2 linked regions of the Drosophila melanogaster genome follow. The protein of the gene in region 1 interacts with the protein of each later gene in a biochemical or structural test. Each region holds a gene or a part of one and is shown on either strand. Other genes may lie near its edges. The genes, in order: Tbp and Bdp1.

Region 1 (4,003 bases):
GATCAGGCTAAGAACAACACCTACGACCTGGAGGCCAACCTGGCCGTGCTGAAACTGTACCAGTTCAACCCGCACATGCTGAACTTCGACATCACGTACACCATTCTGCTGAAGTCACTGACCAGCCTGCCGCACACGGATTTCGTGATGGCCAAGTGCCTGCTGCTGCCCCAGCAGATGAAGGACGAGAATGTGCAGACAATCATCGACCTCGCCGACATACTGGAGCGGGCGGACTTCACCCTCTTCTGGCAGCGGGCCGAGGTGAACCGCAACATGTTCCGCCACATCACCGGCTTCCACGATTCAATTCGCAAGTTCGTCTCGCATGTGGTGGGCACCACATTCCAGACAATTCGCAAGGACCTGCTTAAGGAGCTGCTCGGCGGCATCGAGGACTCGACGCTGGAGAGCTGGATCAAGCGCAATGGCTGGAAGAACCAGGGCCAGGGACTCGTCATCGTGGCCATGCAGGACGACAAAATCAAGACGAAGAACATTACGGAGAAGATCGAGTTCGACAACGTGGGCGCCCTGATGGCCCAGTGCCTGTAGGAACCTCATTCGCGTTCATAGTCCTTGTCTAAATTTTTACGAATAGTAATTAACGGAAAAAAAATAATAATAAAAGCCTGTCCGTACAGCTAAATTACTTTGTGGTTTATTCTCGATCGGAGCTGCTCGCCAGGCTGCTCCCACTCATATGATCAGACTTCCAGAACTACCGACCTTAAAACGTACACGTACAGAACTAATAAAGCGCTATCCTATTTATGACTGCTTCTTGAACTTCTTTAAAATGGGGAATATCTTGTCGAAGGCATCGTAGATCTCCTGCCGCACCTTTGCTCCAGTGAGCACCACCTTTCCGGACACGAAGATGAGGAGCACGATTCGAGGTCGCACCATACGATAGATTAAGCCGGGAAATAGCTCAGGCTCGTAGCTGCTGAAGTTGCAATGGGTCAGCACCAGGCCTTCCAAGCGTATGGGGAACTTGACATCGCAGGAGCCGACCATGTTTTGAATCTTAAAGTCGAGGAACTTTGCCTGCGGGAGAGAAAGCGTTAGAGATTCGCCGGGAAGAGAAAGGAAATGTAAAGTCTTGTCTTACAGGGAAACCGAGCTTTTGGATGATGCGCGCATACTTTCTCGCTGCCAGTCTGGAGTCGTCCTCACTCTTTGCCCCTGTGCACACCATCTTGCCGGAGCTGAAAATAAGGGCGGTGGTCCGGGGCTCTCGGATTCGCATAATCACAGCCGCAAATCGCTTAGGATTGTACTCGGCGTTTCTCGCATGCAATGCTATTTTCTTGAGGTCCAGTTTGCAGCACAGATTAACCGTGGACACGATGTTCTGAAGTTGTGGCACAATACCGGGATCAGCGGAACCTGGTGTGGCTGGTGTCATCGGCGTGGAGGGGCCCATCGTCTGGTGGATGTTGCTCAGGGCATCTCCGCCACCTCCGGCCCCCGAACCGCCCACACTCCGCTCACTCATGGGCATCATGTGGGCCATCATGCTCTGCGGCGTCTGCGGCTGCATCATGGACTGCGGAGTGCTCCCACCGCCGCCGGGCGCCTGACTCTGGAGCTGCTGTTGCTGCTGCTGCTGCTGATAGGAGGCCGATGGCTGGTAACTCTGCATTTGTTTGTGCGCCAGCGGGAGCGATGGTTCGTGGCCAAAGAGACCTGATCCCCCACTGGCGTCCGACTGCTGTTGCTGCTGCTGGTGCTGCACGGAACTGGAACCGGGTGCCGGCATCAACGAATCCGGCTGCGATACAGCCGGAGGATGGTACACAGGATTGGCCACTATCTGCTGGTCCGCTTCCATCTGGTGGAGCGGCGTTCCGATGCTCGGAATCGAGAAGTTGGGGCTTAGCATTTGGTCCATCTTACAGATGGTTTATTGTGGACTCCGGTGAATTTTTCAGTGACTCAATTCAAGATTGCTGAACGGGCTCAACTTTGGGTTTTAATTGCATACCCACAGAGCGGGAAATTAATTTAATAGTAATAATAATAATAATGTAATGCAACCGCGTTCGTCGTTGTACCTGTGGCTCGTTTTGTGAGAATGGCAAAGTCAGCGCTGCATTTTGCCGCAACTATCGATAGCTGGCTGGGTCTTACGTTTATCGTTACGTTCTTAGCATTTAAGTATTTCATTGAAAATATGTATGAAAATAATTATAACAATAATTATCTTTGATTGTATTTTAATGTTTAGTTAAAAATCACACTTCAACGTTTCAAATATTTCTTATACGTTAAATCTCTCCCTTACGTTGTTGCCAATCGATAACTAAAATGGCGCACTTTTCAAAAGAATCAAGTATACTTTGTTGTACTTCTGTTTAATAGCTAAATAATTTGTGTATAAGGTGAACAAAAGAAATAGCGAATAAATAATAGTGCATAATACTTAGAAGGAAAATGGTTATTCTCATCTATGCAGTTTCAGCAATAGATTTTCGTGGGCGTGAACTGAAAAACGATGTGTTAAAAATTAATTAATTGGAACTTTTGCACTTGGAAAGTGCAATTAAATGGTTATTAAACTAATTAGAAAAATGAGAACGCCGCCCATGCTGAAACCGAAGGTTGAATAGGCCAAACTTGTGACAGTTGCCGTTGAGGAATGGGTGTAAGTATTTCCGTGCTCATCGGTGTAGGAATGCTGCCCACTTGAGGGTGAGTTTTGGAACGTTCCTCCCATTTCGGGCACTGTGTAGGGTCCTTCGTTCTGACCCCGTATGTAAATGCCGTTTCCAGGTGTGCCGAACTCATGGGGACCATTTCTTCCATCATAATTCTGCTGCGCATTTGTCACTGGAGAAAAATAGAGAGAGAGTGTTGAATGGATGTGGCGGTTCTAGTGGTTCCCACACTTGACTTACCGGCAAACAACAGCGTGCTCACTATGAAAACAAGTAAAGTACACGATCTCATGATGCAGTTTCCAGTCACTGAGCTCAATTTCAACTGAGAGCGGCTCGGTAATTTACAATCTATTTATATAAACCGATAGAAAGACGAGCTTTTTGCCAATTAGCAGCTGAGAATGGGTAATGTCAAATGTTGAGCTTTCCTTGTGCGACAAACATTACAAGCGACAATGTACCAATTTTAAAATAGAACTACCCTATTGCCAATATCTAGCATTTTGCGCATGCCTTTACCCAGGAAATGAAATTTTTAATTTTAGTTCATCAGCTTGGGAAGAGAAGGCAGGCAAAAGAGAGTGCAGCAAATAGAGATTTTTGTGCATATATAGACTCCGAGAATCGTTATATAACATGCACTCAAAACAAACGAAAAAACGCGCAAATCGGGCGACAGTTCGAAACTACAAAAGACAAGGCCTGAAAACTAAGCTACTAGCGCCAAAAACAGAGTAGGTTTTCCAAAGAGTGTGAAATAGTTTGGAACCCAAGACAACCAAATTCAAGTGCTGCAGAAGTAAACACTTAATAAGGGCGACATGGAGAAGGTTTGTCAGTTTTTCCGCAACAACTACGTGCTGGCCAATTGCGAGGATGCCATATACAAAAAGGCATTCTCCCTGAATCTGTCCCACTACCAAATCTCCGACGTTCCGGGCATCATAGAGAAGTGCGAGACGCTGATGAAGCTGTTCCTCAACCAAAACAAGCTAACAAAGGTGGCACCTGGTGCACAAGATAGCCAATGAAATAATAGACTCACAATCCCTTGACTCACAGATTCCATCCTCCATTGGTAGTTTGATGCGACTTCAGGTCCTCACGTTGGACTACAATAAACTGGACGAATTCCCGCTCTGCATCTGTCGTTTGGTCCGGCTGAAGTTTCTCAACATCAGCTGCAATAACATTAGTAGTTTGCCACCCGAACTGGGATACCTCACTCAGCTGGAGACGTTCTGGTGCAATAATACTGGGCTCCTGGAGCTGCCCAACGAAATTCGTAACTGTGAACACCTCGAGACGCTGGGCGTACGGGGAAATCCCTTGAAGAA
Region 2 (5,168 bases), on another chromosome or scaffold:
TGGGCAGGGAGGTCTCATGGGAGCGGGAGCAGCCAGGTATATAATGGTAAAGGAGTTAACGACCTGCTTCGGGTTTACTATTGACCTTGCGCCGGCTCAAACTGCCCAACCAACTGCCGCGTTGCTCATTAGCCGTATATTCGTCATTGATAAGCGCGAATCCGTGAAACATGTCCTTCATCTTGATGGCCCGTGAGCAGGCGTAGTTCTTGGTGGCCACGTACATCTTGGTGAGGAACTCGGGCATTTGTTTCTGAGTAACCCAGGACTTAATATTCTGCGGTATGGGTATGCCCGGATCGTCGAAGTACGTGAGGACAAAGTGGAGGCCTGGCTCATGGAAACCGCGAAAGGGCTTGATGACCATCAGGCTCCAATAGTCAGTGACGCGAACTTTTCCAGACAACGCCGGATAGGTGTTGTGCGTGGCTCCGCGGTTGCAAATGAATATCAGCTTCTTGTTGTCGTCTTTTATGTAGCGGCGACAATAGACGTAGTCGCGATTGGCGAACAGTCGTGGCCACTGCATCTCCCAGTATATCAGATGCGAGTTGCTGCCCGGGACGGGATCCTCGCTGATGAGCTCAAGTCTTAGGGCCGTGTCGTCCCACTGGCGACGGTAATCCAAATCCGTTTGAACGTGGAGGAAGTCGTCCGCTGTGATGTCGTCGAATCGAGCATAAACCTGCAAACGGAAAGGCGGCATAAAAGTGAGCCCTAAAAAACTTTTAGATGGCCTCTTACCTTGTATGAGTATAAGGAGGAGCGCTCCTGCCGCCGCCAAATGCTGAATTCGTTTTTGCTAAAGTACGGCTCCCATTTTTGGTCGTCCTGGGCCTGAATGCGTACCGTTCCGGCCGGTGCATTGCGCACGTCCAGATCCAACGGTCGCAGACAATTGCTGATGCTGGTGTCCGGATCCGTCTCCGCCTCTTTGCTGGTGGACGGCTGGGATTGGCCCTTTTTGCAGCGCTGGTTGCCCAGCTGACAGTAGCAGTATTTCATCTTCTTGGCCTGGCAGCGGTCGCACAGCTGATTGTTGGGCAGGGCGTTGATAAACTCAATATCCCGGCGGCACAGATCAAAGTTGGACAAGGCCAGGCGCTCCTTGTTCCAATCGAAGCCATCGCTACCCATTCGCTTGATATTCAGCCCGACGAGACCCACTGCACTCATCACCATTCCCCGCAGCGGAGGCTGCAGCTCCCGGCGGTAGTAGGCGCGCCATAGCTGCTTCAGACCCTGAGTTCCATACACCGACTGGTAGAAACTGAACAACTGCTGAACGCGACGCGAGCGCTGGGCGAAAATCGACTCGCATTGGTAGCTCCAGGCACGCAGCGTTTCTCGGGACTGGTTCTTGATGGCCAGTACAAATCGATTGAACAGCATGCCGGCTAATTCAATTTGTCCGTCGGCCGCCCGCTTGCATAACAACCTACTCAAAAGTGCGGCGACTTCTTAATGCTCCTTCGCTATTACTGTGCCCCCGCACACTTGGCACATTTGTCGCCAGAAAACTTTGGGAATTTAGTACTTCTAGCCAGGACACACCCGATAGGTTTGCCGGAAGCGTTACTGCACGAGAGCTTGGTTAGGATCTGGGCGGACTTATCATGTTTGCCCGATTAGAAAAAACGTGCAACTTGCAATTTGTCTGCTGCTTCTGTTGTTATTCCGCTGTTGTTGTTCCTGTTGTTGTGCCGTTACAGGCAGCAGTGTTGGAAAATCGCAAACCGCCTGCTGAGAGGTGACAGCTACGATCAGTGATCACACTTTTCTGCAACACTGAAACACAAATAATATTAAATTCAACCAAACTTTTACTGTGTACAAATTTTTGACGTGAATCTGGTGAAGTGTGCCATAATTTATACCAATTTATTTTTGACACTGCGAATAAATTTACTTGACATGCTTTCTAATAACGCAGTTATCTCGTTTTTTTTTTATTTGTTAAAAAATCTTTTGGGTACTGCAAGTTTTTTATAGCCATTTTGAAACTTTAAATAAATTGGTTGTCTACTTTCTTACATGGCCAGGACACTGTGAATGCTCTTTGGCGTTAGCCAACACTATACTTGGGAAACTCGTGGTTGCGGCCGCATTGTTTTTGTTGCGCAGATTTTGATTCGATTTGATGTGTGAAACTGCGGTTGAGCCTGGAAGAAGCCTAAGAGTACCCAGGCAGGATGTCCATGCGGCGCCAGCGCATCAAGGCTCCGGCCAACCTGTCGCTTATCAAACGCAAGCCACGCAGGGAGGAGCTCCCAACGGCGAAAAAGGAGGATGAGGAGGAGGAGGCGGTGGTGGTGGAAGCAGAGGCTGAGTCCCCGCCCGTTGCATCGACCCCTGCTGCGGAATTGGAACTAGAGGCTGATGCAATCGCCTTCAAGATGCCCGCAAGCTCGGCTGGGCAGCTGGAAGAGGTATTCCACTCGGACCTCGAGGACAATGTCATTCAGATGGACTTGCAGAAGACCACCAATGGCTTCCCTATGTCGCCCAGCAAGGCTCAAGCCCGTCAGCGTGTGCGACCCACTCCGGTATTTGGCCAGCGACGCAACAGCTTCGTGGGCTCACCCATGGCCAGTGATTATGAGGGCGACTATCAGTCGCCAGCCACGCCCACGCGGCGAGAGCGCTATCTTAGCGGTTCTTCATCGGGAACTCCTTTGCAGCAGCAGGTGCACTCGCCTATGCCTCCGTCCCCCTATAAATACCTACCGCCCGCTAGTCCGGGCATGGGACGCATTCGCACCGAATCCACCTGTTCCACCTATTCCGAAGGAGGTAGCAAGCAGAGGAAGGGCGACGATAGGTCGCAAAGTCAAATTGGACAGCGGTTAAATGCCCGGCGAGACTTTGAAACCCGTTTCAATAAGGGTGTACCCGACAAGTCCACGTTCAAGATGATGGACATGATCTTCTACAATCCGGAGAACAATCCCATGGTGCCCAAACAGTCGGTGACGACCATCAAGGATGAGTCTGGTGGCGATGATTCCAAGCCCGCAGTCAGTCAACTATTGGAACCCAAGGGAGAGTCCACATCCGCTATGTTAGTGCCTCAGCTAAAGCTTGATGCCAATGGCGAGATGATCATTGATGAGAAAACATTGGAGATCGAAACCACGGCCGAGGTGGAGGCCCGCAAGGTGCTAGCCAACTCATCGTTAATCCTAATGGACGAGACTACGGGTGCGCCGCAGAGTTAATACATAAAAGTTGAATACTTAACGAATTTTATACTTTGCAGGAGATAATGGATTCTATAAACGCCACAAGCGCACGCCATACTGGACCTCCGATGAGACCGTCCGCTTCTACCGCAGCCTGCAGATCATTGGGACGGACTTCTCGCTGATGTGCCAAATGTTTCCAACACGTTCACGTCGGGATCTAAAGCTGAAGTACAAAAAGGAAGAGCGAACCAATGGGCAGCTCATAAACAAAGCACTCCTCTATCCTAAGGCCTTCAACATTCAGGAGCTCAAGGATCAACTGGAAGAGGAGGACCGCGAAAGGGAAGAAAATGATCGCAAGTGGAGGGAAATCGCACGAGCTCTTCCGGGAAACCCTAAGAAGGTAAATAATTTGTAGCTGACTGTAATCACCATTACATTTTTTAATTATATTTAGCGTTCCCGAGTACAGCAGCAAAGCAAGGCCTCAAGGGCACTAAACGATGGTGATGTTGTCTACGAAAACGAGCACGTAACGAGTACAAAGCTCGGCAAGCACGCCTGGGCCAAAAGGCGAAAGGAGTTGGAGACCGATGAGAACGACGGAAGTGCGCCGGCCAAACGTAAGCCAAAGGCTAAGCGACGATCTCCCAAGGTTTCAGTTCCAGCGGCAACGGAAAGCCTGTCTGATGTGGCGGCCATTAAGCAGGAAAAAACGATCAAAACCGAACAAACGAGTAGTCATTTGCCAACGGGGGGAGAACTGCAGGCTGAGCTCAATGGCCTCCTCATGGATGATCCGGTGGAATATGACGTAGATGTAAACAAGCCACGTGATAAAACTATTATCAATATGGATGATGGTACCCTAAGCTATGTCAGCGACGTCGAACCCGCCCCAGAGACGCCCAATCGAAAGGCAGAGACATATTTAATAAACTTCATTGAAGACCAAGATCATGAACTTATAACGCCGGATGACCCCATTCCGCCGTCCACTACCGAACCGGATATCGAACAAATTCTCGCCGAGCTTGCGGAAGGATCTCTGGCTCTCGTCTCGTCCTTGGATCCAGAGCACGAGGATCGTGTGCTCAACGAAATCTACATGCTGGACAAAAAAACGGGCGAGTTGTGCGAAACGCCTCTGAAAATACCAGAGCATATTGTTCAATGCATAATGAATGTTATGCAGCCAGAGGACTAACGACATTTTATATTTATATCTTAAGAGTATTTGTTAACAGTTATAATTTATTAAAGCATTTCGCTAGATGTATTTACAAAATTACTTTCTTGTTCCTCGCAAATTCAAAGGGAATTGCAAAAAATGCAAAAATGGGACTGACTTTCTTGGTTTCTTTAACTATTCCTAAAAAAAATTGTAATTAATATACAATTATAACAGATTTGTCAAAATAGTCTTATTTTATAAATAAAATAGGGTAGCAAGAAGGCTTTTAAGCATTAAAAGTGTTTGGTTATAGGTATCTACTCTAGACAGGATCATTTCGATTTCTTGCAATAACAAAAGCTTGTATAAAATGCAAAGATAGCCATTGCTTTTGTATAGAAAATTTAAATCAAATATATAAATATTTTTTGAATTTCCATTCATTTCAGAGTTGCCGTTCTCTAAAATTATTTTTCGCTTCGCAACACATATTTTCAGGCGCAGGGCTTTAGAGCACTGGACTTTTGACAGCTGTTGTTGTTGTTGCCTCGGCTGCGGTAGCAAATTAATACAATTTAACCAATATAGTAAAAAACGATGGCCCAAGTTCCCTTGGCAATCGTCTCGCACAAGCGCCAGGTGTGCAGCCTGTACAAGCGAGCACTGCGCAACTTAGAGTCGTGGTACGACCGACGGTGAGTGCACTCGGCGCAGAATTCCCAAATATTATATAATGAGCAAGTGCATCTTGGTTGTTTCTTAATGCCCATCAGCAATGTCTACCGCTACCGCGCTGTGCAGCTGCGTGC

The links.
Region 2: the proteins of Tbp (region 1) and Bdp1 form a complex in vitro, tested with the Drosophila melanogaster proteins (one study listed by BioGRID).

The regions. Positions count from the first base shown.
Region 1 is NT_033778.4:21,685,556-21,689,558, forward strand, and holds Tbp (TATA binding protein), read right to left. Parts: upstream 2,088-4,003; 5' UTR 1,898-2,087; coding exon 1,115-1,897; intron 1,051-1,114; coding exon 772-1,050; 3' UTR 637-771; downstream 1-636. Other genes in the region: eIF3k (eukaryotic translation initiation factor 3 subunit k), read left to right, coding at 1-555; BaraC (baramicin C), read right to left, coding at 2,549-2,835, 2,904-2,955; CG10307 (uncharacterized protein), read left to right, coding at 3,488-3,667, 3,729-4,003. UniProt on the Drosophila melanogaster protein: General transcription factor that functions at the core of the DNA-binding multiprotein factor TFIID.
Region 2 is NT_033779.5:13,370,728-13,375,895, reverse strand, and holds Bdp1 (B double prime 1), read left to right. Parts: upstream 1-2,071; 5' UTR 2,072-2,192; coding exon 2,193-3,201; intron 3,202-3,259; coding exon 3,260-3,588; intron 3,589-3,642; coding exon 3,643-4,392; 3' UTR 4,393-4,469; downstream 4,470-5,168. Other genes in the region: CG6565 (uncharacterized protein), read right to left, coding at 56-685, 745-1,392; ND-B22 (NADH dehydrogenase (ubiquinone) B22 subunit), read left to right, coding at 4,957-5,054, 5,133-5,168.